Diceros bicornis minor: one gene and its partners. The protein of the gene in region 1 interacts with the protein of each later gene in a pairwise test. Links are inferred from orthologs where the notes say so. Each region holds a gene or a part of one and is shown on either strand. Other genes may lie near its edges.

The links. The genes of interacting proteins can lie anywhere in the genome.
Region 2: the proteins of MAX (region 1) and MXD3 interact in a two-hybrid assay, tested with the Homo sapiens proteins (4 studies listed by BioGRID). The link is inferred for Diceros bicornis minor from reciprocal best matches to the Homo sapiens genes MAX and MXD3.
Region 3: the proteins of MAX (region 1) and MXI1 interact in binary tests that used the Homo sapiens proteins (3 or more experiments, as listed by UniProt). The link is inferred for Diceros bicornis minor from reciprocal best matches to the Homo sapiens genes MAX and MXI1.
Region 4: the proteins of MAX (region 1) and MXD4 interact in a two-hybrid assay, tested with the Homo sapiens proteins (2 studies listed by BioGRID). The link is inferred for Diceros bicornis minor from reciprocal best matches to the Homo sapiens genes MAX and MXD4.

Annotation. Positions count from the first base shown.
Region 1 is NC_080763.1:14,073,585-14,081,296, reverse strand, and holds the start of MAX (protein max), read left to right. Parts: upstream 1-4,698; 5' UTR 4,699-4,900; coding exon 4,901-4,936; intron 4,937-5,659; coding exon 5,660-5,686; intron 5,687-7,712. UniProt on the Homo sapiens protein: Transcription regulator. Forms a sequence-specific DNA-binding protein complex with MYC or MAD which recognizes the core sequence 5'-CAC[GA]TG-3'. The MYC:MAX complex is a transcriptional activator, whereas the MAD:MAX complex is a repressor.
Region 2 is NC_080740.1:90,522,456-90,529,459, reverse strand, and holds the start of MXD3 (max dimerization protein 3), read left to right. Parts: upstream 1-3,998; 5' UTR 3,999-4,445; coding exon 4,446-4,515; intron 4,516-4,764; coding exon 4,765-4,870; intron 4,871-5,545; coding exon 5,546-5,575; intron 5,576-5,703; coding exon 5,704-5,818; intron 5,819-7,004. UniProt on the Homo sapiens protein: Transcriptional repressor. Binds with MAX to form a sequence-specific DNA-binding protein complex which recognizes the core sequence 5'-CAC[GA]TG-3'.
Region 3 is NC_080745.1:74,030,006-74,037,037, reverse strand, and holds the start of MXI1 (max-interacting protein 1), read right to left. Parts: upstream 3,007-7,032; 5' UTR 2,781-3,006; coding exon 2,519-2,780; intron 1-2,518. UniProt on the Homo sapiens protein: Transcriptional repressor. MXI1 binds with MAX to form a sequence-specific DNA-binding protein complex which recognizes the core sequence 5'-CAC[GA]TG-3'. MXI1 thus antagonizes MYC transcriptional activity by competing for MAX.
Region 4 is NC_080747.1:1,622,407-1,630,010, reverse strand, and holds the start of MXD4 (max dimerization protein 4), read left to right. Parts: upstream 1-4,598; 5' UTR 4,599-4,641; coding exon 4,642-4,705; intron 4,706-4,805; coding exon 4,806-4,905; intron 4,906-7,604. UniProt on the Homo sapiens protein: Transcriptional repressor. Binds with MAX to form a sequence-specific DNA-binding protein complex which recognizes the core sequence 5'-CAC[GA]TG-3'.

The sequences.
Region 1 (7,712 bases):
AGGGTGGAGAAGGATCAGAAGTTCCAGCGCTCTCTGAAAATGTGAGAAGAGGAGGACAGGGTCCTTGGCTGTGCCAGAGGTCTTCCTTTTGGCCCTCCAGATCCAATTGTTCCAGGCCCCAGGTCTGAGCTCCTGTCAGAGGGCCCTCTCCATACAGCCCTGTCCCAGCTCCGATAACCACTCATTCCCTCTCCCCTGCAGGCCCAGGGGTGGGCACAGAGTCCCCATGGTGCTGCACAATCCCTTGTAGTTTCTTTACACCCTGCCCACATATTTGTAAACAAGCTCGTTCTTAAAAACTCCTCGCATGATCCTAATTTGAGTGTGCCAGCTGTTTCCTGCTGGGACTCTCATGGTTACACCCTCTCCCCCAAATAAGGAGAAAGCAAGCATAAGTGACATGAGGAGAGGATAGAGCTGTCTTCCTAGGGATTATAGCTTGAGAAGTTTGCTGCTTAGGAAAGATAACCGACTTACTGAGGTAGTGGTTGTCTTTTAATAGCTCTACTGTTTTGGTGAGAATGATGCTGCTCACTTAAAAAGAAAAGAAAAAGGAAAATCATTGGAAATTCCACCTCCCAGAGACAAATGCTATTAACATTTTTTTGCTGAATATCCTTCTACACATATATACTCGTACAGATATGTTCAATTTTATAGGAATGAATCATACTCCAAATGCTGTGTCAGACCTACTTTTTCTCATTCATCCATAAGCCTTGAGTTTCGAATTGCCTGTGGAATAGTCCAAGTAGACGTGTCCAGAAATAAATGGAATATAACAATCTAGAGTGCAAGAAATTCAGTCTTGGGGTCCCCGTCAGAGAGATGGGCATGACAGCCTTGGGAAGCGGAGGATCCCACTGGGCAGAGGGTGCACAGGGAAAAGGTGAGGGCCACCACAGAGCCCCTGGAACTCAAACCCTGACAGGGCAAGAGGAACCAGAGGAAGCAGAGAAGGAGCAGCTAAGGAGGTAGGAAGAAAACAGGAGAGCTCATGGCCTTCGAGAAAGACAAGGGTCAACAGTAAAGAAGGCACCTGCCAGATTTAGCAAAAAGGAGGTAGCTGGAGGCCTGGGTAAGAGTGATTTTAGTCAAGTGGTAGAGTGGAGGCCCAACTGTAAAAGAGCTAAGGAGAGAATGGACGTCGTCTGCTTGCCCTCCCCACTTGTTATCCCCCTCCACCCTCATCAGAGCTTTCCAAACCCTGATGTGTGCATGAATCACCTGGGCATATTGTTACAATGCACATCTGAGTTAGTAGGCCCGGGGTGGACTCCCTGATGATGTGAATACCACTAGAGCAAACTCGAAGTAGCGAAGGGCTAGATTGGGCGGCCTAGTGACAAGGCCCAGTCTCAATAAGCTCACACAAGGCTTTACCAAAGACACTCAAGCGTGCAGAGATGAAATGAATTCTTAGAGTCCTAGATTATTATTCACATCAGAAAGGTACTAGGGCCGGCCCAGTGGCGCAAGCAGTTATGTGGGCGTGCCCCGCTTAGGCAGCCTAGGGTTCGCAGGTTCGGATCCCTGGCATGCACCGAGGCACTGCTTGTCAAACCATGCTGTAGCGCTGTCCCATATAAAGTAGAGGAAGATGGGCACGGATGTTAGCTCAGAGCCAACCTTCCTCAGCAAAAAAAAAAAAGAGGAGGATTGGCCTCAGATGTTAGCTCAGGGCTGATCTTCCCTCCCCAAAAAAAAAAATTGAAAAAAAAAAAAGAAATGTACTAAAAAGGAAAACTAGAAGACATTTCTGTTCTCATATGTCTAGTTCTTTCCTGCATATATGCCTTGTTTATGAAAGTCTCTCCATTTAGGTTGCTTAAAAGTGTTTCTTAAGTTCCAAACTTATGAGGATTTTCTAATCATCTTTTAGTTATTATTTCTACTTTATTGCATTGGGTCCAAGAACTTGCTCTCTAAGATCACAGTCCTTTGAAATGTGTTGTTATTTGCTTTATGGCTCAGAACACAGCCAGTTTTCATAAACGTTCCATGAGTGCTTGAAAAGAACATAGTCTACAATTGTTGAGTGCACTGTTTTATGTCTTTTAGGTCAAATTTCTTTACTGGGTTGACAGGTCTTCATATTCTATCAATCACTAAAAACAAATGTGTTAAGATCTCCAGTCTCTCTTCCTGGAAAGCCTTTCCTCCTACCTCTGCCTGCTTGCACAGGCCTCCGCCCAACAACTGGAGATTCATAGTCACCAAAATCTGACCCAGTCTCTGCAGACTCAGTCCTTGCCCTGATGGCACTGACAGCCTAAGCAGACTCACCTGATCACCAACACCTCTCCACCCCACCTCAGACCTGGAATATTTCTCCCTCCTCTGAGCTCTTACAGCATTCACTGCCTGTATAGCTAATTTAACACTTAGATAGTCTGTCTTCATTGCAATTATTTGTGTTCATAATTTACTCCCCCATCAGGTTTTAGATTCTGGATGTGAAAAGATTATCCTAGTTTCTATAACTACTTTATTGAAATATAACTTTTTGTGTGTGTGTGTGAGGAAGATCAGCCCTGAGCTAACATCCATACTAATCCTCGTCTTTTTGCTGAGGAAGACTGGCTCTGAGCTAACATCTATTGCCAATCCTCCTCCTTTTTTCTGTTTTCCCCAAAGCCCCAGTAGATAGTTGTATGTCGTAGTTGCACAGCCTTCTAGTTCCTGTATGTGGGACGCGGCCTCAGCATGGCCGGAGAGGCGGTGCATCGGTGCGCGCCCGGGACCCGAACCCGGGCCACCAGTAGTGGAGCGCAAGCACTTAACCGCTAAGCCACGGGGCCGGCCCTGAAATATAACTATTAACAAACCATAAAACTCACTCCTGTAAAGTAGATGATTCAGTGGAAGACTATCTTATTTATCTTGGCATCCTCTGCAGCAATGGTTCTCTATGTATACGCACACTGGAATCACCTGCAGAGCTTTAAAAAAATACTGCTGCCTGGTTCTCACCCCAGAGGTTCTGACTTAATTGGTTTGGGGTGCAGCCTGGGCATTAGAATTTTTAAAAGCCCTGGAGTGATTTTAACTTGTAGCCAGGGTTGCCCTACAGTGATTTGCACACAACTGGCCCCCAATAATTGTTTGTTGTACTCGTGTTAGCCCTAACTTCTAACATCCAGCTAATTAACTCACCCAAGAGCTACCTTCCCCGTCTCCCATAGAGTACATCAGCTCTTATAACATAATGGTCTGCTTATACCTGTCTGCCTGACTCAGTGTGAAAGAAGCCTAGGAGACAAAAGCATTTAGAAAAGATAAGTTTACTTGCAAAGACATGTAGATTTCAGATTTCAAAGAGTGGATAAAAAATACAACTGATATTTAATGGAAAAAATGTAAAGGAAAGATTACTATGTTTACATTTGTCTCTTCACCACGGATGATATGCTCACATGGGGAGATATGTCACAAAGGTCGTGACATATCCCCAAATTTCTGTATCCAGAAGTCAGGGACAAAATGGTTTTCATTAGGGAATCAGTAATTTACAAGAAAAGCTCAAGATTTCATTCATTTTGGAGACCAAATGTAAAAGATTAGTTCAGCTACTTTGTTTATGTCAGGTCTGAAAGTGTCTTGTGATTGTTTTTTTGTGTGTGTGGGACTTGTACATTCTTAACACGGTGGCAGGGCAGTCTCATTTTTGTTTACACAGCTGCGAGCGCATGAAGGCAGGGACTGTTTCAGTCTTATACATTATGGCGTCCCCAAGCTGGCACATGTTAGGTGTTCAATAAATATTGGTGGAATGGATATGATCAACCCTCATGCCACAGTATTTAAATATGATTTTAACTGAATCGGAAGCTGCACAAGTATCCCACTTCGATATTTTTTGCAATTCTTAATTATGATACTCCGAACTGGGGCACTCCCTAAACTGCCTGGGCTACCACAAACTCAGAAGAGGCTTTTACTTCCACGTAAACCATTGTTAAGGGTTGGAGGTCTGTGAATTTACGAGCGTCACGTGAGCAGCAAGGATGGTCCCTCCCGATGAATGAATACAAGATTGTCGTGGCTGGCAGCGGTCCCTCAGCGAGGCGGTCATCCTGGCTGTCCTGTAACACCACTTAATACATTGACACCTCCCTACAGCTAGATCCCAAGGGTCCCAGGGGGCATCCAGAGCCGCGCCACTGACCTCCACAGCGGGATGCCCCCGCTGGCGGGTTACGCCCCAAGGCGCAATACAGAGACTCAGGCATCAAGAAGACAAAGTAAAACCAGTCGCAGCAAAGAGAGGCAACGTTATTTAGGCAGCCGGCTATTCCTCCAGAGCCTCCACCCTGTCCCCTGGGCCCGGCCCACAGCGCTCAAACAGTGCCCGGCTCCAGGAGCCCCAGCTCGCTCCACGTGTCCTGTCTTCCCAGCAGCCTCCTCTGCTGCCTCGGGAGGAAAGCCTCCTGACAACTCGCGGTCTGAGGACTACAACTCCCAGCAGGCACCGCGCCGCTTCTCTCTCCGCACCCCATCCCCCTCCACGGGACACGCAGGCGCTCTGGGCTCCGTCAACAAGCCCTGCTGGCGTCGACTGGCCGCAGTTCCTTATGGGATTTGTAGTTTTTCTGGCGTTAGCTGGGCCGTCAGTCAAAAGGACAAGAACTACAAGTCTCGGCAGCCCCAGCGTGACGAGCCCGGTCACGTGGAGGGGGCCGACCGGGCGTGCGTGCCGCCGTTGATCCGGTGCTGCAGTGAGGAGGTGGTTCTCGCCCGTGTTGTGTGTGTGTGTGAGTGAGTGAGTGAGTGCGAGAGCGAGTGAGTGAGTGAGTGTGTGTGTGGGGGGACTCGGCTTGTTGTTGTCGGTGACTTCCCCCTCCCCTCCACCCCCCCTTCCCCGCCGTCGCTGCAGTGGCCGCTCCCTGGGCCGTAGGAAATGAGCGATAACGATGACATCGAGGTGGAGAGCGACGTGAGTCCTGGGGCTTCTTCCTTCCCGTGCGGGTTGTCAGGCGGGGACAGCGGCCGGGGCTCTCACCCGGGCGACGGCAGGAGGGGGTTGGGCAGCCGCCGCCTCCTTCCCCTTCCCCGCACCGGGACCGTCTCAGTCGCGCTCCCGGCTCGCTCCTCTCCGGGCTCCTGGCCGCAGCGGCCTTCTGGGACTGGAGGTGGGGAGGGGACACGCGGCCTCTGGGACCCCCAGTTCCCCCCGTGGAGGAGGGTGCTGCGGCCTCCCGCTCCCACCCTATCCCGCCCAAGATCCGGGGGACAGGGACGGGGTGCGCCCGAGATCCCATTGTCCGGATGTTGGGGAAAGGGACGGCGCTCAGGACCTGCTCCCTCAGTCCGCGATCCCCTCCTCCCGTGACCCGCGGATTCTGGGGGCTGAGGGAGGGCGGAGACGGGTTGGGAATGCCCAGATGCCCGGAGCTGGGTCCGAGGGTAGAAGACGTTGCTCTGGACTCCCTCCGGCCCGGGTCGGATCCCGGAAGGAGGGGCGGCGCTCGGGACCCCCCTGCCCTGCTACCGGATCCCGCTGGGGGGATGGGGGCGTGGGGTGGGGAGGGAAGGAGGGGGGGCCGGGCTGACTCCCCACCCGCCGCTTCCTTCGCCGCCGGCATTTTCTTTCTTATTATTCAATGTGAAGTGTAAAAATAACTTCTATATTTTCTATTTTTTTTCTCTCTTATTCCAGGAAGAGCAACCGAGGTTTCAATCTGCGGTACGTCTCCTACTCTCCATTTCATTTTCATTTCCGTTCAGTTCTAGTCCTTTTTGGGGTCAGAGAGAAAAAGAGATCGTTCTATTACTTTTAATATTGTAGTAAACTCTCCTGTTAACCGCTGAGGTGAGGTGGGGCCTTGTTTTGGGGTTCTAGGTGGGGGGAGCGGGTTTGCAAATCTCATAATTCTAGATTCTCAGGTGATAAGTTCCGGTGACTGGAGGTGAGGGAGAGGAGCTGTATGCAAAGAAATGAATCGTTCGGTAGTTTTCCGATGGGGGATCTAGCTGTCACTATATACGTAGGAAATGAGAAATAAAATTAAAGTAAATTGTAGTATTGTATTTCAGGGCAAAGTGGTCAGAAGATTTACTTTGGAACAAGTAGGTTCTAAACTATATCTGCATAGTTGTGTATATCTGCATAGAAGCTGAAGCCACATGCAATAATTATCTTGAACTAAAAATCATGTGACTGCTGTAGACCTATAGAATCTAGCACAACATGGTGGTGTTCTAATACAGAAACTGGCAATGTAGAGGAGCCAGAGGTTGAGTATGAAAGTGTTGCATACAGCTTATTGTGGTCTGACTATATTTGAGTTGAAGAAGTATAAAGAAAATAGAAGAATTGTTGAAGGAAAGTGGCATTGCGGAGATAAGTTTGCTAAAAGGTGATGGTTGAGACCATACAGTGTTATCAGTCATTTCTCAGGGTTTTAGTATTAATGTTCTCAGTAGATGGTTCTATGGATTTAGATAGACACTAATCTCATGTCTTTGGAGTCGGCGACAGTACTGTGGGTGTTCCGTGAATAGATTAGAGAAAGAAAAAAAGAATAGACGCAAAATCAGAATCAGAGAGAGGAAGAGAAATAAGTATATCAGAGTGTCTGATATTTGACAGATGGGAACAGTATGAAGTATATAGAATGGGGGTCAAAAATTCCAGTGCCTGTCGGGGGCCCAGGCAGCGAGATAGTCAGGAATCAAGTAGAGGGCAGAGGTGAGGACTAGGGTACTGGAGAGCACATGCCTTTTCTAAAAAGTCAACCACTGAACTCCAAGGGGTTGTTGTTATGTGGGAGTGAGGGCTCAGTGTTGCCAGATCTTCCTGTTTTTAAAGAAAGATTAGAAATCCAGATTTTTATGTTATATTTTTGATTTTTTAAATGATGTGTGGGATAATCAGGTTGCTTAGGGGCCTGTTAGAATTTGCAGGATGCCACATTGATACCTCTAGTCTAAGAATTTAATTACCACAGGGTAAAAACAAGCCCTCTTACTTGTACCTGCTCTTCATTAGAGCAAGCAAAGATTCTGCAGGTTGTCCAAGCAGAGAGGCATTAAGAAAGATGTTATTTATTGAGAGCTGATGTTTCCATAAAATCCAAGGATCCATTTGTTCCAGGGGTCTTAAAAATTACCCCTGGGTAGTAGTCACTAAAAATATTTTGTTTTATTTCTCCTTGAAATATCATCAGATACTTATATTTAGTTTAGACATGTATTTGAAAATTCAATTCCTTTTTTTCAGTTACTATTATCCTTAATAATGTGAACATAGAGTTTCACGTTTGGGACTCAGTCTATTTAAAACATTTTTTTCCTCCAAGTTTCTAGTTATAAAATCTGCCCCAGGGCTTGATCAGGGTTGGAGGATAGGGATTGGTTAGACTTCTGTTGCAGAATCATTTGAATTGGAATTACCTTGGCTTTCCAGTGAGAGAAAAGTTTTCTTTGTGAAATTTTGGTTTACGGTACTTGAAAGCTTTCTGCTTCTCAAAATAGCCATCTGCATGGGTGTTGATGTAAATTGCTTTATTAAATTATTAAAATGTTCACACTCTCCTAGGATGCTAATCTCATTGTTTTGTATAGATATTTTTAGTTTGGTGTTAAGGTGCCTAGGATTTTTCCCTTTGATTTTGGGGATGGGCAAAGAGAGTGGGTTTGATCCTTTGTTTTTAATTTGACGTCTACTTGCTGAGACTTGTAAATATTATCTGGCACAAGATGATCACAGC
Region 2 (7,004 bases), on another chromosome or scaffold:
TTGCCAAAGATAAAGAGGGATTTTTCACAATGCTAAAAGAATTAAGTCATTAAGAAGATATAACAATCATAAATGTATATGCACCCAATAATAGAGTTTCATAATATATAAAGTAAAATGTGACAGAACCGAAGAGATAAATAGGATAATTCCACAATTACAGTTGGAGATTTTAACACTTGTCTCCCAGTAACTGATACAAGTAGACAAAAAAAATCAGTAAGGATATAAAAATTTTTTTTACAACACAATCAACCAACTTAATCCAACTGACATTTTAAGAACACTACACATAACAACTAGAGGATGTGTTTATTTACATGTGCTTATGGAACATTCATCAAGATAGATCATAAACTGGACCATACAAGCCTTGATAAATTTCAAATGGTCAAAATCATAAGAGTATATTCCCTGACCACAACAGAATTAAATTACAAACCAATAACAAAAAGATATCCAGAAAATTCCCAAATATTTGGAAACTAAAGAACACACTTCAACTTATCCATAGGTCTCAGATCAAAGAAAAAATCAGAAGGGAATTTGAAAATATCTCTTTCTAAATGAAAAACAAAACAAAACCATAACACATCACAGTTTGCGGGATGCAGTTAAAGCAATGTGCAGAAAAGAAGAAGGGAATAAAATGAATTATCTACATACTCACCTTATGCAGCTGGGAATAAAGGAGCAAATTAAATCCAAAGTTGGTTCTTTGAAAAGATTAATAAAATTGATAAACTCCTAGCAAGACTTATCAAGGAGAGAGAGAGACAGAGACAGAGAGAAACAAACCACTTATATCAGGAATAAAAAAAAAGACATACTACAGGTCCTACAGAGGCCTCTCCCGGGTGGCCCCACCCAGGGTAACTGGGACTGTCAGCCACTTCTGAGACGTAGTCTAGCCAGGCCTGCCTCATGGTCTATTCCCCTGCAATATCAAGTGAGGGACCAGCTGGCCCCCCCCGACTCTGTCAATCATTGTGCCGTGTTGCCCCTGACAGCCTGGGGGTGGCATTCCAGCAGTGGCCTCCAACTTGGGGGTCTGCTGACTGCTACACCACCAGCCTCCTGTGGGCCTGGAGACCCAGGCACACCAAAGCCCCCACCCCCTCCCCATGGCTCAGCCAAGCCTCTTTCTCAGCACTGGCTTCCTCTGTCATGCGGTCATAGTCAGGTGGAAGAGGCTGACCCTGAGGGACACAGCTGCACCGCTGTTTTGGGAGGATGCCCTAAAGGAGGGAGGCCCTGGAGAAAGTGATATTTAAGCCAAGATGGCAGAGGCAGGGAGATGGGTAAGGGCATGGCATGTCACCGGCCGTGGCAAAAGGAGGGGCGCAGCCTAGCTTGAACTTTGTCCTGAGGGCAAGGGGAGCCCAGGTGGGGCTCTCGGCAGGGATGTGACCTGGTTAGCTCCGTGACTCAGGAGTGCTACTCTCTGGGAAGACAGGAGGCTGAGTGAAGGGGAGAGCTTGGGGGCAGGGAGCCCAGGAAGAGGGCTGGGCAGGAGTCAAGGATCTGAGCCAGGCCCCAGCTCCAATACTGCCCCACCTCCCCCCTTCCCTCCGACTGCCATTGTCACCTGTAAGGAAGAAGGTGAAAGGGGGGACAGGTTCTGGCGGGACAGCAGAACCCATCTCCTGCATCCTCTCCATAGGGCGGGAGAAGATGGTGAGCCTGGGGCTGGGGCCCCTGCAGTCCCCTTCCCGCCTCTCACCCAGGGCACAGATGTAGGCTCTGTCCCTTGGAGCTCAGAGGACACTACTGCCCGACAGAAATTGCACTGAAGCGCAGGCAGCATAGCCACATTACTTTGGGCAGGCCAGGCTGAGGGCTGGGGAGCCCACAGGGCTCCAGGGTTCAGGCTGGACCTGGGAGTCTGGGACAGAGGTTCTAAGACCAGTCACTGCTGAGGGGGCAGGAGCACCCAGGTCCTCTGCTCAGTCCTTCTCCAGTTGCCACTAGCACTAGCATTTCCTCAAAGGTGCCCAGAGGGGCATCCAAGGGCTTGGGGCAGGAACCCCCCTCTCCCTATTCACCCTGCTCCCTGGGAGGTATTGTTTCCTGTCCTCCTGGCCAGTGGCCCTGACCTATATTCATGGGGGCCCGAGGCCAAGCTGACTTTGGCCTCCATGTTGTTCCCTAGCTCGAATCTTACCTGAGGCTCCTAAGATGAGGTGGTCACTCCAGCCCCCCTTCAGCACCTGCCTCACTTCCATAACCTCCAGTCCCTTACTCTGCTGGGAACTCTCCTCCTTCAGAATCCCTCCCCCTGATCCTACTCCCACCCCAAGGCCAGGCCACTTAGGTCCCAGATGTCTGACCAGAAGGTTTGTGTCTGCACTGTGTGGGGGCTGACTTTAGTGAAATAAAATTGGAAATTCATTCACAAGCCTTGTGATTCCTTCCTTCAGACATAACTGTTTGGGGGTGAGGGTTTGGGGAACCCATCAGCCTGTTCTGGACCCTGCCAGCCTCTCCAGCATCAGTCTGCACCACACTCTTTGTTCTCTCTGTGCTAGCCACCTTGGCCTTCTTTCAGTCTGCATATATTCCTTTCAGCCTCAGGGCCTTTGCACCTGCTCTTTCTGTGTCTGGAATTCTTGTACATCCCTCCTATATAGGTAACACCTATTCATCCATTTCCCCAGAAAAACCTTTTCTGACCTCCCTGATTAGGTCAAATGCTCCTTAGGATATGCACTCACCTTGTGTCTTTTCCTGTGAAGACCTGTCAAAGCTGCAACTCTATTGTGTGATTACTATTTCCGTGTCTCTCCTCACCTGCAAGCTCCACAAAGGTAGGAAACCTGTCTGCTTTTGCCCATTGTTTTATTCTCTGTACTCCAGCACAGTCCCTGGGGTCCAGTAAGTGCTCAGCAAATCTTTCATGAGTGAATGGTTAGGTGAATGGGTGGATGGTCCTGGGCAGCAGTTCTTGGCTGAGCATGTCAGTGATTCCTCTGGGATTGACTCTTAGAGAAACCTCAAGGTTCTTTGCAAGAAACTGAGGGCTAACTGTCGTGTGCCGTGTGTTTACCCAGCACTGTCTCTATAAAGGATCTAGTCCCTCCTTCTCCCTCCTCTCCATTTCCCAGTCACAGACTCAGCCCCAGCCTGGCAGTAATGCTCACCCTATAACAGCTGCTTTTATCTTCCTGTCTCCACCCTTAGACTATCACTGTCCCCGCAGGTGTGGCCACACCTGCTGGCGCTGCCCCTAGAAGTCACTGCAGCTACTCCTTCGGGAGGCTCGAAAGTCACGTTAAGGAAGGGCTCGTGGACTCTAAGGCAACCAGGGGCTCTGTGGGAGGATGTCTGCGTCTGGTCGTACCGGCCTGAGAGATGAGCAGCTCCTACGTCCTGGGCAGGGCATAGGCCTGGGTTCCGATCCTTCTACAACGCTGTCGCAGCTTCTCCAGTTTACAGGAGGGAGATCACTTCCCAAGTCACACGGCTGAGAGCAGCGGTGACAGGAGAGGAACCCGACTCTGTTGACTCCAGAACCCAGGTCTCTCTAGCCAGCCAGTTTGCGTGCTTCCAGGGTACGGATGGCTTGGGGAGCTGGTCCCCTACTGCCGTTTTCGAACAATAGCTTCCCTGCAGATGAGGAGGAGGAGGCAGGAGACTATTCCCATTCGCCACAACAGGAAGCTGAGGCCCAGCGGGGGCCTTCGGGGGCAGATGGCAGGCAGGCGAGGGGACAGACCCCGGAGCGCGAGCCGGACCCGCGCCCCCCTCCCCCAGCGCCTGCGCACTGCGGCCACGTTCCCCGCTCAACCCCGCCCCCACCGCCCAGGTTTTCAAATTTGAAACCTGCTCCTTTTCCCGCCCGAACGTGTTGACCAGCAGCGGGAGAGGGCGGGGCCGCGCGCAGCCAGTAGTGCCTCAGAGGCTGCCTGGCCCCGCCCCGAGGGTGACGACAGCGAGCCGCAGGCGGCAGCGGGCAAATGGGCTAGGGCGCCCGCCCGCTCCGCCCCCGCGGGGCCCACGTGCAGCGCCGGAGCCAGGGGCCTCCCAGGGACCGGGGGACCCCAAAGCACCACTCTTGTACCCTGCCCTCCCCATCCGTACGGGGCTGGGAACTGAGGCCCAGAGACTCCAAGAAACCAGCACGGGGTCGCTGAGCAGAGAGGGCAAGACGCAGCACCAGCCAGCCCAGGGGTTCACCCAAGGGCCAGGCCTGGAGCCGGCGCCCGTCCCAGTCCCGCAGGAGTCCGAGGGGACGAGCCGGAAGGCTCGCGGAGGGTGGGCTGCGGTTCCCCGGCGTATTCCAGAGGGGCGGGGCTCAGAGCTGGGCCGTCCCGGGGGCGGGGCGCCCTGGGGGCGGGGCCGGGCGCTTGTGTTTGTTGCACCGTGTCAGTTACATTGTAACAAAAGTGGTGCAGCCGCTCCTCCCGCCAGCACCCCAGGCCCGCCCGGCGCCAGCTGTCGCCGACATGGAACCCGTGGCTAGCAACATCCAGGTCCTGCTGCAGGCGGCCGAGTTCCTGGAGCGCCGCGAGAGAGGTGAGGAAGAACCCTTGGCTGGACTCCAGGCGGCGACCTCACTGACACCGGCCTGGGCTGGACTTGGATCCCAACTTGAAGGATGCATGGCCTTAGGGGTCTCCACTCGAGAGGGGTCCGCGGGCAGTCGGCCTGGGAGGGGTTGGGGAAATGGCCCTCGCGCCAAAAGCCCCTCCCTGACCGCGCTGTGCCAGGGGCGCCCGCTGGGATCAGCCCCAGCCTGACGCGGGCGGGGGCTCTCTCTGGCAGAGGCGGAGCATGGCTACGCGTCCCTGTGCCCGCACCGCAGTCCGGGCCCCGTCCACAGGAGGAGGAAGCGACCCTCCCAAGCTCCTGGCGCTCTGGACAGTGGGCGGTGAGGAGGGCTGGGGGCGGCGGGGAGTAGGGGGGATGGGCGCCGTCTCTCATCAGGCCCCTCCTCTGCCCACTTCCTCCTTGTTGCTTACATCTTCTAGGCCAGGTACCCTGCTCTGGAGGCATTCAGACCCCTCCTGCCATCTCCCCACCCTCTAAACACACGCTTTTCCATTCCTTCAAGGACTATTTCTTGATGTGTCAGGAACTGTGAGCAAGACAGTTCTGGGTCCCGCCTCTATTCACCCCTACACTCCACATAAACCACTTGCTTTCCCCCACAGGTTTCCAATCCTTTTCGCTCCTCGTCTCAGCCTTTTTTGCACATGCTGTTCCCCGCAATTTGAATGCCTCTTCCTCCACTACCTGCTTTGAGTAACTTGTGTTGCTGGGCACAGCTCAACTGTCACCTCTGTCCAGGAATTCCTTCCTGACTGCTGGTGGGGGCCCTCATTTGGACCCCAGAGCCACCTGGGCAGGACTCTCTCAGTATTTGGCCCCCTGTGTGTCTCTGCCTCTGCCTGGGGACTCAGGTGACCAAGGCCAGCACAAGGTCCCCACACTGGGCTAGTTGAGACAGACATCTGTGGTGGATTTTGAGCCCCTGGAAACCCTGGGACTGAGGGTGTGGGTAGTAGCTAACGCCCCCTCACCGCATCCTCCCTGGCATTGGCAGGTCTGTGCACAACGAACTGGAGAAGCGCAGGTGAGTCCCAGCCCTGCCCTGACAGCACCAGGTCCCAGGAACTGCCTCCCTCTGACCTTCCCTTCCCTGCTGTCCCTCTGGCCAGCAAGGCAGGGCTGGCACTGCCCTCCAGACCCCTTCCTCTGCAGGAGGGCCCAGCTGAAGCGGTGCCTGGAGCAGCTGAAGCAGCAGATGCCCCTGGGGGCTGACTGTGCCCGCTACACCACGCTGAGCCTTCTGCGCCGTGCCAGGATGCACATCCAGGTAAGGAGCTGACCCTGCATCCTGCGGCCAGCTTGCCAGGACGGTGACGCGTAGAAGTAGGGAGGGGCTGGGTGGAACTGGGGAGAGAGGCTTGAGGTCACAGCCCAACTGGGTGACATGGGACAGTTCTATATGCTTTTGGTTTCCAAATTTGTTAAATAGGAAGAAAAGCAGAAAATAATTCAGAGGATTGTTCTGAGGCTTAAGTGAGTTCACCCAATAAGCATTCACTGTTGTTATTACAGCTCTTGTTACTTCCATCCCAACTGTGAGACCCTGGGCCAGTCACTTAGCCTCTCGGGACTTCACTTCCTCTTCTGTGTGGGGGGCATGGCTGTTGAAAAGATTCTGTGATGGGTCATGTGTGAGGGTCCCTCTGACTGCAGAGGGCTGGTCCTTGCTCTACCTCTCCCCCATCCTTCAAGGCCTCCTGTTCTGGGTGATCTGTTCTGGTGCCACTTTGGGAGGCAGCTCCAGTGGCCAGGAGGGGAAAGGACTGAGAGGATGCCAGTCACCTGTCCTCGCAGGACCCTTGCCCTGCCTGGGCTGATCTCAGCGACCCCTGGTGGACAGGGGTGGGGTGTGCTGACTCAAGCCCCGGCAGTCCCAGCGTGGGGACTAGAAGCGCCTTGGGACCAATACAGGCCTTTTCCTGCCCTCCTGGCCCTTTTGACAGAGGGACAAACGGGGGCACATCCGGGCTAACGACCAGGTACTACAGCTGAGGAGAGGCAGATTCAGAACGCAGGCCCAGGTCTCCTGACTTGCATTCTTTCCTTCAACAAGTATTTATTGAGCACCCGCTCTGCCAGTACCAGGACCGTGGCAGAGACAGATCCACGTACCACGCAGCAAATAAATCAGGTGTGGGAACTGTCCCACTGCCCGATGGGTGCCTGCATTCCCCTCATTGTGGCTGAATGAAACCCTGGCCGGGTGGCGGGCCCCAGTTTCTCACGTGGAGCTTGCCTGGCCTGGTTCTTGGAGGATGAGATGCCCCTCAGGTGCTGGCTGGCCCGTGGGCAGGACCTGGGGATTACTCCTTCCTTGAAGCCCCATCACCCCTCTCCTGGACTCCCTGCTTCCTGTTTTGCCTATACCAGGCTGTCCTCCACCTTGCCCCAGAATATTCTTTGCAGCACAAGATCTGTGCAGGTCTGTCTCCTGCTGAAAACCTTCCATGGCT
Region 3 (7,032 bases), on another chromosome or scaffold:
TGGGGTGGCGAGAGTGGGGAGGATACAGTAGCCCCGTGGGCCGCTCCTGTTTGTAGGGGGGATAATAGAGGGCCCCGTGGATGGTCGCCCCTGGTTGTTGGAAGTGACCTCGCCCGCGTGAGCAGTTGGGGAGGGGGCGAGGGCCTGGAGCGAGGTCCCCGCAGCCAAGCTGGGCACGGCGCAGCGCCCCACGCTCTCGGGGAAATCTGGGGGCCGTTGGCATCACGTCATGCAGAGCCAAACAGCGGCGGCGAAAAGAGGCAAGAGAGCTAAAAATACTCCCGCGGGGAGCCGGCCGGAGGGGGGGGCAGCGGGGCCGTGGGGTCGATTACGCACACGAAGTTGACTTTGACTGGGGCGCTGAGGTTCCCGAGCCCCTCTCGGGGGCTGGCGGGCTGGCAGCGCGGACGCCGCGGGAGAGGAACCGGGAGGAAGCCCCTTGGCTTCCTCAGCCTCGGGAGCCGGGCTTGGCGTCGCTGGCCCGCCCCGTGCGGGGACAGCCCGGCCCGGCGCGCCCGGCCCTCTGCTTACGTGACTGGTGGCCACGCCGGAGCCCCGGCACGGGGTAAACAAGGAGGTGGCGGCGGCCAGGGCGGCCGGGGGCGGAGGGAGGTCTCCGATTGTCTGAGGGTGCGAAGGGGGGGCGGGACGCGGTGGAAGCTCCAGCCGCCTCCTTAGTACACCTCGCGCGGGGGGGGGAGGGTACACCAGGTTTGCCACACACTGCCAAGGTGCCCTCTTTGAGTGCACCCCCCTCCAGACCCGGCGCCAAGGGACAGACTCCGGAGAACCGGTGACCCGGGCGGGGGTTAGCTACAGAAATCGCGCCCCTCCCCCTCCAACAAAAGCAAACACACCAAACAAAACCATGTTTTCACCCAGCTCCCCACCGTCTCTGGCTTTTCAGAAACTACCCTCCCGACCAATGCACACTTCCCCCCCTCCCCCACCCCCATGAATAATCGCGAACTGATTCGGCTACATGGCTGGCGATGCGCCTTTCTCGTAACCCAGGCACTCCGAGCAAACGGGAGAGAAGAGAAAGAAAAGAACGCGCCACCGACCTCCCAACACAAATCCTTGTTTTTGCCTTAGAGCTTCTGCACAATTGCGCTGCCAACACTCTGTTACTTTAACCCTGGAGGCCTGGGGTGTCGGTCAGCTAAGGTGTTTTTGTGTTGGAGGGTTGTTGTGTTTTGGGGCAGAGGAGGTTGCAAGATCTGACACGTTGCAATCGGACCATTTTTTTCCTCTCTCGTCTCATTGATCTTCCTACTTGTTCGGACAGATTAAACAGCCTTGTTTTCTCCAGTTTGTTAGTCTATCTGCCTCGGCCCCTTCCCCCTTCTCGCAGCTATTATTGCTATTATTTGTGAGGACCGTGCTGGAGACACCGCACACGCGTGCCCCCGTTAGGGCGCTGAGTCGACTGCCTGGGGAGGACTAGGGGACCCAGCTGGCAGGGGCAAAAATGAAACAAACAAATACAAAAAGGAGGGCAGGCCGGGGTGGGGCTCCCAGCACCCCCACACCCCAACATACACATACACACAACGCATCACTCTCCACCTGAATCGGGGTGGGTGGGGGAGCAGGCGACAGAAATCGACCAGGAAGGCGTCTGCCTTCCTCGCCCTGAGCGCTTACTCGGGAGCCTTCTCGCGGAAAATAAAGAAACCATACACAACAGCCCACACCTTCTTCCCCAACTATTGTTTCCTGCGAGATCCCAAAGTTTCCTTCCAGCCGCGTCCCCCTCGCCAAGTTTCCCGGGCGCAGGACGGCGGGTCCGGGGCGAGCTGCTGGCGCTGCTTGGCCCTGCCGGCCTGTTTCTTTGGTGGGGCTGGGGGAGGGGGAGCCGGTGGCACCACAGGGCAACAGAGGCGCAGGGGGACTTTATCCGTGGACGCGATGGCCTGAGCCCAGTTCTGCTGCGAGAGGGGAGGAAAAAGCAAAGTGGACAGGAGAGAGAAACATAGTCGAGCCAGCCCGAGCCCACGCCGGAGGGCTGTTTGGTGGTGGTGGTGGTGGTTGTTATTGTTGTCGTGTGTGTCTGTGCGTTTTCTTTCTGGAACCGCTGAGCTCTGCCTACGGTTTCCAACTTTCGGCTTCTAATCCCCACCCCACCCAGGAACGAGCGACAGAAAAACAACACTTGTCTGCCCGAGAAGGCTCCGGAAAAAAAAAAAAAAGGAAGAAAGGCGACCTCGAAGAGATGAGCTCTCGGCTCAGTTGTCAGCAAACAACAACACTCCCCCGCTCCTCGGCCAGGCTGTCCTCCCAGCCTCCGGGAGACAGACAGACGGACGCACCGACAGGCCCCCCTCTTCCCCCCTCTCGTCTTTGTTACATCTTTAGCAGCTTTGTGCGTGCGTGTCCTTTCTCCGGTGTCATCGGCTTTACTGCCGAGGGCTGGATGGGTGTGTTGGGGGGAGGGGGGCGCGGGCCGAGCAGGCGACAGGGGTCGCCCAAGTGGGCGAGGAAGAAAGAGCAGGGCGCCGAGGAGGAACAAACTTACTTTTGTTTTCTTTCTCGATCTGCTCCAGGTAGCTGGCGGCCTCGAGCAGGATCTGCACGTTCTGCAGAAAAGTGTTGATGTGCTTCTCCATCGAGTTCTCGCTGGTGTTGAAAATGTCCGAGAAGGGGCACCTGAGCTTGGCCCCCGCGGGCTCCTCGGCCGGGGCCGGGGGCTGGGGCGCGGCCACGGCCGGGGGCGCGGCGGGGGCCAGCCCCGCGCGCTCGCAGCGCGCCTCCTTGCGCGGCCGCCCGCGTTTGCCCATGGGGGGACGGGGGTCCGCGGAGCTCGTCCTCTTCTGGGGCTGCGCCGCCCGGCCGAGCTCAGGGCCCCAGGGGAGAGCGGCTGGCCGCAGCGGAGGAGGCGCCGAGGCGAGCAGGCGACCTGACTTCCCGAGCCTCGCTGCGTGCAGTTGTGTGTTTGAGTGTGTGTGAGTGTGTGTCGGTCTCGCAGTGGGTCTGTGTGTATGGGAGATTGAATGAACCTACAGGACCGACGGAGGCGCTCTGACGCCTGGGTCCTAGTGCGAGCCTGTCGCCATCCGACCGGTCAAAATAAAAGGTGGAGACAAGCGAGGCAGGGACCGCCCCCTGCCCGTCCCCGCACCCTTCCCCGCCTCCCCCCAAATCTTACCACAGTGCAGAGCACTGTATTTTAAGCATAATGGAAAAAATACTCCATGCCTCTGAGTGCACCTGCATAAAAACAAACTACTAAGCTCTTTTTTTCTTCACATAAAAATAATTCCTCATAAAGCAGTCAGCACAATGCCTGGCACACAGTAAGTCCACAATAAACGGTAGCTGCTATGACTTTTTAAAAAAATAAAAGCCTACATTTAAAATTTAAAATAAAAATAAAAGCCTAAATTTAAAAATTTAATCCAAAAAAAAAAATCACATGTAACCTGAAGTTCCCTCCGCCCAGTACACACACTCCTGCGCGCGCGCGCCCGCGCACACACACACATACACACCCTCACAGAGGCACCAGAGTGAGGCACCGGCCTTTCAATGGACCCAATGAAATCCCCAGGCCGCCAAATCCCGGTTACAGATTTACTCACTCTTTCTTTCTCCCTTCAAATGCAAAGGTATTTTCCAGGAAGGGGGAGGAGATGTAAGCATCTCTCTCCACACTCCTCTTCCCAGCCTTGGTCCAGCTGTGCAAAGCTCACACTAGGGTGCCTCCACACCTTGCCTCCCTTTTATTTGATAGCGAGGCAGAGTGGCAGCCCAGGATCCCCTCCACCTCCCTGAACTCCACCTTTTGGCTCTGAAGACCCTTACCCCAGTTGACATTGTATTCACTGCTGCTACTGTCACCCAGTCAGGGTCCGCAGGAACCATGGGAGCTTTCCAGGCCTGGGACCTGTGGTGGGAGTCAGGGGGATAGTTGAGGGTCTTTGAAGAGTGCCATCGAGAAGGGTTCAAGTCCCAGCTCTGATGCATGCAGACTATGTGAGCTTGGGCACGTCGCCTAACCTCTGTTGGCCTAAGTTTCCCCATGAGTGAAACCTCTGATAAGGATTCTTGTGCTGATTAAACCATATCTGCCGTTAGCACACTGCCTAGCCCATAATAAGACCTTTTTCTTCCAATCTAGACCCAGACAAGAGCCTGGGTACCCTACTTGCATCTAAGGGAAGAACAAGCTACAGGAAACAAGAATCTCCTGCACTTCATTGGAAAACATCTCTGCAACACACCCATGTAAATATTGTCACCTTGCGAGGCCACTCGGAGTTTTCCTCCAGAGGAACCATTTACATAGAAGACACAATGAATGCTGCCCCCTGGAGTTGTGCGACCCAGCCACCCTGTTCAGAGGCAGCTTTATACACATTTGTCAGGAAGATTCTTACTGGAAATGGAAACTTTTTGAAAAAAGGAGAGAAAGTACATTTCTTTGTAAAACACTCACTATGTAAAACTTACAGTGCACACACCCTTACAGAGCCTTCAACACAGTCTTGCGTACTTTTAGAATATAATAATCTGCTGCTGATATGACAGGAAAAATCAGTAATGGGCATTTTAAATGTATTCACTTTTTTTTTTTTTTGGTGAGGAAGATTAGCCCTGAGCTAACATCTGTTGCCAATTCTCCTCTTTTTGCTGAGGAAGATTGGCCCTGGGCTAACGTCTGTGCCCATCTTCCTCCACTTTATATGTGGGATGCCTGCCACAGCATGCCTTGATAAGCAGTGTGTAGGCCCGCACCCGGTATCCGGGCCTGGCAACCCCAGGCCGCTGAAGCGGAGAGCGCAAACTTAGCTATTACACCACCGGGCTGGCCCCATATATTCACATTTTGAACCATAATATAATCATACTATACATTCATACTATACATACTCTCTGCTCATTTTCCGTCTTGTGACAAATTTTGATTGGTTGATCTCTGCATCCTTTGGCTAAGGCAGAGTAGAAGCTCCTAAGAGCTATGAGATAAAAGTTCACCTTCTAATATCAGAACAACTACTGATTTTTTGTTCCTGTTGGAACCTCAACCTGACTTATTCATGTTTAAAAGTCTATAAACATCTAAGGACTTTAGGAAGGTACAGTTTCAAACAAGTTTTATCCAACTTCATTTTGCAAAAAACTGGCGCTTATGTGAAACAGCCATGGCCTCCCTTGCCCCAAAAGTAAGATGATACTGAGACCATGAACCAACTAATCTTGGAGGAAACCTTGGTCTCTCTTTAATTCCTCCATGGAAGCATGGGCCAAATATGCATATATGCAGTACTATGACCTACATGTATGTATATCCATACCCACTGAGACAGGCACAGCCCACATATGAGAGAGGGGCAAGGGTAGGGTGTTTTGTAATTATTTATTTATCCCTGTTGCATCTCTCATAGGTCTGTGAGCTGCAGAAAGCCCAGTGGGAATCTTCAAGCTGGGCCACGGGTCTGACCAAAGCCAAAATAAACAATGACTTGAAGAAAAATCTACAAAAAAGTGCTGATTTGCACTATTCCCACAGTCAGCCACAGCCCCCACCATCATTCCCATGGAAAACACCACTGCCAGTGCCAAATCAAGTTTTCCCCCCATCATAGGGGCATTGTTTTTTGTTATTATGTGAGTTCTTAGCATCAGACAATGGCACCACAAAAAACACAGTGGAGGCAGGAGAAATGTCTTTTTGTTTTGCAAAGTCTGTGCTATGGTGCCCCAGAGTCTCGCGTATGGTATAGTTGCATATATTCATTTTGGTAACATATATGTGGAACAACAAATGTGCCAAGCTAAAGCTCAAATCCCCTTCTTTTTTTTCTGATCCCATCAAGTGTTAAATCATGTTAGCATCATATTGCTTTCTCCCTCCTCCCCCACCATCCCCCAATTAACAGATTTCTCTAATAAAGTTGGCCCCAACAGAAAGAGTTGTGTTTCAGAGGTTATATCATGGGACAGGCATCCAGGATGCTGGGTTACAAGCTCAGCTCCATTCCCGATTAGATTTGCTTCCCAGGAGGAGCCATTCAAACCCTTTGCACCTCACTTTCTCCGGGGCTTTGACTCCATAAATAAACAGGCCTCTTTGGAAACTTGCTGAGAATTTCTGCAGAGAACAGGTAGGGGATGAGAAGGCAGCCAGCCTGATAAGAACATGTGAACTCTTTGGAAAAAAAGCAGTGACTTTTTGCAATGCCCAACAAGGCCAGCCACGATGCTCTCAAAGGCCCAAGAGATCTGGGGTGTCTGCTCAGCCTGAGTCTTGTTATCCCAATCATCTGTTTCTTTGTTTGGCCTATTTGCCTGTTTGGTAATGTTTCTCCATCAATCTTGTTTGCATACTAAAGCAAGATCACTCTCTTTTATTTGCCCCTCTTTCCCCCCAGACATTCTACACTCTTACATCAAAGGAGTTGTTTTGCCTATAATTATGGCTTCAGGTGCACAGAGGCTGGTTAATTACTGAGACAGAGATAGGAGAGTTTCCCCCAGATCTCCCCATCCTGCATCGGCATGCGATGGGATGCCCTTCCCTGTAGTCCTGGACCATTTTGGCTCTCCTGGGCTCCCTAACCTGGCTCTTCCCAGTTATTCATTCTCCCCTCACTAGCCCTTTCTGCCTAAGTCCACCACCACTGTAACATCTAGCTTTTCCTTGGACCTTGCCGGCACGGCTGGGTCAGGTTTTTCCCTGCTCTTTTACCTGTGGTTTGTACTCAGGCTTGGTAAACACCATCAAGAGATCTTCTGTCCACTCCATTGTCACTTGCATCCTAATCCCCAGAGCTTTCCTAGCCAAGTTTTTCCTGGGCACCTTTCCCTTTGGAAAGGGATCGTCTGGCAATGAGCTGAGGAGGTGGCTCAGGGCTCCTTGTCTCTTTGGGAGCCTTCATCTTGTCTTCCTCTATTAAAAGGGAGGAGTGGCTCCAAGGAAAGCCCAGAAGTAGAGGTTTAGGGACTTACGACACAAGCAGAAGGGCAAGAACAAGGAGCACTGTGGGACTGCCTCTCCTGCTGGCTCCTGGCACAGCCTTGAGAGTGCTG
Region 4 (7,604 bases), on another chromosome or scaffold:
ACCACACCCCTCATTCATAACTTTTTGTCCTGTAAAAAATTTTTAAAAGAAAATTTAATTGTTTTGCTTTTGGACATTTCTGGCTATAAGAAATTCATTTAATTTACAATTATCTGCATTTTCCAGGGGTCATTGAGTATAGTGGGAAAATTTTGTAAAGTGAGAAAAAAAATCTGTCCTACAAATTGTTCACAAATATAATGAACTGTTTTCTTATTATTTTTTTTTAAGATCAGCCCTGAGCTAACATCCATGTCAACCCTCCTCTTTTTTTTTTTTTTTCTGAGGAAGACTGGCCCTGAGCTAACATCTATTGCCAATCCTCCTCTTTTTTTTCCCTTACTGGCGAACCCTGGGCTGCCAGTAGCAGAGCGCGCGCACTTAACTGCTAAGCCACGGGTCTGGCCCCGTTTTCTTATTTTAAATTTAAAAATAACATTGACATTATGTTAGGTTATGCAGACATTTAATTACATCTTCATGCATCTTGGTTTTGCTGTCTTGTTACTGTGTTCTGGAGGTAATTTTTTCCTGACTGGTAAACTTTGAAGGCCCCCAAATGCTCCGAGGCCTGGCCTGGTGCCCGTGGCTGGCTACCTTGGGCAGCTACCACGGCACCCTAGGTTTGATCGTGACTGGGCAGGCCCTGCCCCATTTCCCTGTGTGTAGGGCCAAGGATTAATATTCCTGCCACTTCCTGGGCATCCCTTTGTGCCCAGCCCACTGCTGCCCAGGGCTTTCCATGCATCCTTCATTGTACCCCACAACCACCCCAGAGGCAGGTACTGTAAATTTCCTTTTGTAGCTGGGGAAACCAGCTAAGAGATTAAGTGACTTGGCCAAGGTCTTGTGGCTAGACTAGAATCTAGGGCAGCTTTGAGGGAGGGACCCAGTGACAGAAGCCCCCCAGGATCTCCCCGGGTCCTGGACACACCAGCCATCTTGGTGCAGGGGAGCCAACACTTCTAGGAGGCTGGTTGCAATGCTGGGCTCTCCAGCGCCCGATGACCCCCGGCCAGGCTCTGTCCCTAGGCTCCCCAGACCCAGACCCTGCCTGCAGGGAGCTGTCTAAACCTGCCACCCCCCCAGGGTCTGAGGAGATGCAGGCTGTGGGAGGATTCCAGCCGACCCAAGTGGGCAGGGCAGCCCCTTGGTCTCAGCCTCCTGCCCAGAGTGCTGGGCTGGGGACCTGGGTGGCAGCGGGGAGTCCACCCCAGTGACTGAGGAGACAAGAGAGGAGGTGGGGCCAGGGCCGGTCATCCTGGAAGCGTGAGAAGGAGGCTCTGGAGGAGGAAGGGCCTCTCAGACCTTCCCACCTGGGTGGGGGTGCTTCCTAATGCTGTGCTGAGAGCCAGAGACATGTTCCCAAATCAGTATATGTGGCGGTGATGGGGATCCTGGGTCCAGAGAAAGGGAACCAGGGCCTGGTGAGTGTGGGGGAGACCAGGAATCAGTCTTCTAGAGGTTTCTTTCCCTCAGGTCTCCTTAGGGCCTTGAATACTCTCACATGATCCCGGGGGTGGGGAATAAACCAGTCTTTCCCAAGCTTTGGGACCAGAAATCCTCATGCCATACTCCAAATGCCCCCAGAGATGAGGTGGGTCCTACCATTCTCATTTGTAGCTAGGGGAGTGAAGCTGGGGTGGGGATGGGGGGGAATCCCACGAAGCCCAGGCAGACCTGTACTTCCACCCAAATTGGGAAGTTCCTTCTAGATTCACGCCTGCCCCTCTTCCCAGAGCCCCTAGCTGGGAGCTCTGGGGTGGGCTGGGCTCCCTCAAAGGGCAGTGAGGGAGAACAATCCAGGAGGATGGGCAGCGAGGGGAATGTGGGCTGGTCCAGGAGGAATGCATGGTGGAGGGCCCAAGGCGGCATAGGTGTGTGGGAAAGGGTTCAGGAGTAGGGGCAGGGGAGGTCCACAGCCCCCTCTTGGGCTCTACATGGAGATAAGGGTAGGCTGCCTGGGCTCCCAGAGGGAGGAGGCCTGAGATGTCTGCCTCTTCCCTCCTGGGCATGGACCTTGCTGGTTGCCGCTCCGACGGGTCCCTGCACTGGAGAAGGGGCAGGAAGGGCTGGGCAGGTGTGGGAGAGGGGGCTAGATGAGGAGGCAGCTGGCCTACCCTGGGCTCAGGGAAGGCTCCCTGGAGGAGGTGATACAGCCCCACCAGAGACCTGCCCTACAGAAGTGGGTCTAGGGGTGGCACCGTGCCAGCATCCTCAGGCTCTGGGCCAGCCAGTCCAGACCCAGGGGGCATCAGGCCCCAGGACCACTGTAGTGCCTATGCACCCACCTGGGGTGGCATGGTGAGGCCTGTGGGTGTGCAGACTTGGCTGGCCCCAAGAGACACCAACACCCACCCCCCTTACGGCCTTCCCCGCTAGCTCCCCTAACTCATGGCTTAGCGTCCTCCGGGATCTCCCCTGGGGGCTCTGCCCCTGCCTGCCCGCCAACAGGCCCAGAAAAAGGTCGGCTTGAGTACCCGCCCCACCCCGCCTGCCGCTCCCTCTCTCCTCTCCTCTCCCCGCCACCCCCCACGCCATCCGGCCCACGCGGCGCCTATCTGTGTCCGCGCCAGACCCCGCCCTCCTGCCAGCCCCTCGCTCACGCCGTCGACCCGGCCCACCACACTCACAGGCAGTGTGGAGACCCGCGGGCACCAGAGCATCTGGGTGTGGCTGGGGGAGGGGTCCCCAAAATGCCGTAGATGTAGATGGAGGTAGGGTGGGGGACCAGCCCATCTCATCTCAGGCTGGTAGGCAGCACGCTCGGGGCTCCCGCAGTCACACCTGGGCACCTGCACCACCTGCTGTGGCACAGAGTGCACCTCATGCCCCATGGCAGGAAGGAAGGTGGGCATCTGGCAGGTGCCCACTAGGCAAGGTGTAGGCTGGCTTTAGGATTGGGGTCAGCAGTCCACCCCTCACGTAAGCAGGGATGGAGTAACCCTGCAAAATGCTGATGCCCTGATGGTGAGCCTGGGATCCTGCCTCCCATAGCCCAGAATGCACCCGGCCCTCCTCAGAGCTGGGCGCCTGCTTTTACCCTGCACAGCTCTGTGCAGCCTTCCAGACTAACCTGGAGGGCCACAGCACCCAGCTCTTGTTACAGGCTCTGCCCTGGCCCTGGGGTGACTGTGGGGCAGGAGCAGGAATATTCCTAAACCCGTTGCTCAGATCACAGAAGTCATGTTGGGCCAGGAGATGGCTTGGTCTCCACGGTCCTGTGTCACCAGCCCTGGGTCGCGTGTATGGGTGCACTAATCATTCCGCTAGGATTTCCGGGAGACCCTGGTGAATCCCTAAACCTCAGGATTCCCAGTTTCCTTTTCTGTAAATTGGGGATGCGGAAACACACGAGGAAATACATATAAAGCTTCCAATAGGTCCTAGGACTGAAAGTGCTGAGGTTTTTATAGTTCTTGTTCTGTTTTGTTGGCAGCAGCAGCGACCCCCGCCCCCTTCAGAATTTCTGTCGGGGGTCCAGCCACCCTATCTCCCACACTCTCCAGCCTGCTGGTCCCCTCCTCAGGAGCTCCACTAGGGCCACCCGCCAGCTTGATGAGGAGCTCTCTCCCCCTCACGGAGGCAACTCCCTTCCCTAGAAAGCACTTCCTTGGCCAGCGCCTGTCCCACCCTTCAGACCAGACACGAGCACGCAGCCCCCAACTCATGGGAGCCCCTCCCGACCGTGGCGACAGACCTTTGACCCCCTTCTCTAGGCCGAGGGCTCCTCCTTCGGCCCTGGGGTCCACCGCAGCTCTGAGGGACCCCTCCCTCTCTGGGCCTGTTTTCTCATTGAGATCCTCAAGGAGACCTGGTTCTTAGGCTCAGACCGTCCAGCCCCCTCCTCCAAGCCCCGGCCTTTCCTGGGGTCACTGTAGGTCCGGCAGGGAGGGTGTCGTTTTGCAGCCCCACGCGAGACCCCGAGGAAACCGCGAGGCCCGGTGTTCCCGCGGAGCCAGTGTTGCATAGGGACCGGGGGCCACAGGTTCCTGCGCACACTGTGTAGCCCCGGCAAACCGCGGGGCGCACGAGACGCTCCCCGCGCCCTAACCGGCCCCGGCGAGGGCGACGGGCAGTGCCCCCGCGCTCGCTTCCTCTCGGCAACGCGTCCAGCCGCTGCGCCCTCATTGGCCGCGCGCCCCGCTGCCGGCCATTGGTCCGCAGGCCCTATTTTACATAGACCGTTCTGGGCCAATCGGCGCCCGGCGCCTACTTAACATGCACGCCGGCCGCCAGTCAGCGCGCGCGGGGGCCGGGCCACCACGTGCTGTTGCTAAGCTTGGGCTTCTAAATTGTTACTACAGCGGCGGCCTATCGGAACCGAGCTTAGCATCTGTCAACATTCTCGGCCAGGCCCGAGGCGTTCGGCCGGCTCCCATTGGCCCGGGTCCGCCCCAGCGCCCGCCCCCGGAGCCGCAACGCCGGCCCCCATTGGCTGCGCCGGCCGCCGCTCGCCCTTATGTGTCAATTTGAGGGCCCGAGGCGGAGGGTGGCGGCCCAGCGCTCAGCGAGTCCGCGGGAGTCGGGGAAGTGGCCGCCGGGTGCGCGGGGCGGGCGGCGAGCGGAGCCGGCCGGAGGGGGCCGGGCAGCGGCCGCCGCCGTCCCGGAGCGCGTGGGCGGGCGCGGGCGGGCGGGAGGATGGAGCTGAATTCCCTGCTGATCCTGCTGGAGGCGGCCGAGTACCTGGAGCGCAGGGACCGAGGTAGCGCCCGCGCCCCTTTGTGCGCCGGGCCGCGGGCTGGCGGGCGGCGGCGGGGCCGGGGCCAGGGCGGGGGCCTGCTGACCGCGCCGTCTGTCCGCAGAGGCCGAGCACGGCTACGCCTCGGTGCTGCCCTTCGACGGCGACTTCGCCAGGAAGAAAACAAAGGCGGCCGGCCTGCTGCGCAAGGCCCCGAACAACAGGTACCGCCCCCCGCGCAGCCGTCCCCCACCCCACCGCCGGTCCGGGGCCCGGGCTCACCCCTCGGGAGCGCCCTCCCCCGGCCCCGACCCCCGTCCCGCAGCCCGGCCACCGCCGCGCGCCCCGGCGGCCAGCCTGGAGGAGGAGGCGCGCCGGGCCGCGGCCGCAACCCCGCCCGGCCGGCCCCGCCCGCGCCGTCGCCATCTTCCCGCGGCCGCGCCTCCTCGGCCTCTCGCGTAAACAGTGCCACGCGTACAGCGCCCGCCGCCCGGGGTCTCCTCCCGCAGCCGCTCCCCGCCCGCAAGTTGTTCTCGACTTCTCCGGGCAGGAAAAAAGTTGTCAGTGGGCGCTGGCCGGTGCCCCGTAGATCCGGGGAAACTGAGGCTCCGTGCAGAGCAGCGTGGGGCTGTCAGCCCTGACCTCTGCTCGCCGCGGGTGGGTGGGCCGCATCTCTCCGACTGTCTCCAAGGGCCGAGCCTGCTGTTGGGCTGAGTCCCCACACCGCCAGGCGCCTGGACAAAGAAGGCTCATGGAGGCCCTGCCCTGGGCCCCCAGCCCTCCCGTGGTGCGCACCACTCCTGCCCAGCCTTTTGACACAAGTGAAACTCCAGCCACAAGTGTAGGGGTCACCTTCTTTGGGACAAGAGGCCCTTTTTAAGCGGGCCGGAAGAGGGGGCAGGCTGCCATGCAGCAGCCCCTCCTGGTGCCAGTAATCTCCCCCTCCTTGTACCCAGGCTGCAGAAGCCCTGCAGCTGGGATGCACTTCCCTGGGTGGGGAGTGGGGACCCTCAGCTAGGGCTTCCGTGGGTTCCACTCTCCTGGCTGCCATGAGGACTGCAGCACACCTGGCACTGACCAGGGGCCCACTTTGGCCCCCGACCATGTCACCAGGCTGGAAGCTGTGCTTGCAGGGGGCTTCCGGGCCCCTTGGCAGAGGGTGCGGCTCATTCCTGTGGCCTGCCCGTTCTTGGGAAACAGAAAGGCTGGCACAAGGACCAATCTCCTGTGACGTCCTGGCGCCCTGGGCCTGGCAAAGGATTGGTTGAGTCTCCATCTGCCCTGGCTGGACATGTCTCTGAGTCCCAGCCCCTGGTCCCCTGCTGGGGACAGTTTGGGAAAGGACATGCGTGGGGGGGGGGGGGTACCACGGCCTCAGGCCTCCTCAGTGAGCTAGCCAGGCCCCTCCTGTTGGGTCTTGCTGTCCCCAGTGCCCAGCTACCCATGGAAAACTCTGGGACGTGACCTTGGACTTGCATGGTAGGGGGTCCCCAATGCTTATCACCAGAATTGTAGTTAGGGCTCTCCAGGTGCTTCTTATGTACTGTGTTTCATGCACATGCTGATTAATATTTACCCAAGCCCATGAAGGAGATGTTATTTTTATCTCCATTTTGGGGCTGAGGAAACTGAGGCATAGAGAGATTGAACTACTTGTCCGGGGCCACCCTCTCGCCTCTGGGACTCCTGTTCTGAGGTGGGGTGCTGGCCTTCTGCATTCTACTGGGATGGAGACCTTGAGGGCGCCGGGAGGGACCGAGAGGGTCTCACGGGCTCCGGTGCACCTCCCTGCTGGTTCCTCTGGGCAGAACCTGACCCCCCCAGTGCCTGAGGCACTCCAGGGCTCACAGGGATGGCTCCTCGAGGCTGTCCTGGCCCGGAGGATCGGGGCTCTGACTTGGCAGGGCAGCCCCACACCTGCAAGGCTTCTGTGTTCCAGCACAGCTGGGGCCAGGGTGCAGGGTGGGTAGTGGGGCAGGAGGGCAACGTTTGTGGGGGGACAGCGGCCCCATTGGTTGCCAGGCCTTTAGGAAGGACTATTCAGGGGCAGTGGTTCAGCAGGAGGGGCCTGGAGCCAGCCTGCTGGGGATCAGGTCCTACAGGGAAGTGGGCAGATGTCGAGGGGTTGAAGTGAGGACCAAGCGAGGTGATGCCAGGAACGCGCTTAGTATAGCCCCAGGCGGGCTGTCCCACCTCTCCGCCTCTCCTCCGGCCACCATGTGAAGCATGGCCCGGGACAGGGTGCTCCTGGGACCTGTGAGGAATCTCCCCGCAAGGTTCCTGCGGGTATCTGGACCTGGGAGGAGTCCCAGGAGGGACTCTGGGCCCCTCTCCGTCCCCTGGCTGTCCCTCTTCCTCCAGGACGAGGTCCAGCGCAGCCTGCGAGGGGGCGGGCGGGCTTCTCTGTATTAAAGGGCACTCACTGACCCTTACTTTCTTCACAAGTGAGCAGACCTACAGACCCACACCGCAAGGCTGAGGTTCAGACCAGCAAGAAGCCCGATGGCTGTGTCCCCTCCTGGCCTTAGCCAGCCCTGGCAGAGGTTCTGAGGCTCCTTGCCCAGCCCATGTGACCAGCAAACCCTCGAGGTCCCTGGAACCTGTGGGGCTGGAGGCTCTCCTGAGGCTGCACGGGGAGGCCCAGGGAGCTGGCTGCCCCAGTGGGAGGAGGGGAGGCCTTGGGTCCCAGTTGGCTATGGTGGAGCCACGAGCCATGGCAGGTGGCAGAGGCAAGCAGGATAGGCACGCACTCTGGCCTGAGGGGTGGGGACGGGAGACATCTAGTCCTGAGTTCCTGGAGCAGGAGAGAGTGAGGGCAGGCAGGCAGAGATCAGCAGAAGTGCCAGGAAGGAGTGAGAGGTAGAGGGCACAGGGCTCCATCTGGGTGTGCTCTGAGGTGGCTTGGGCTCTCTGCTCATGTGTG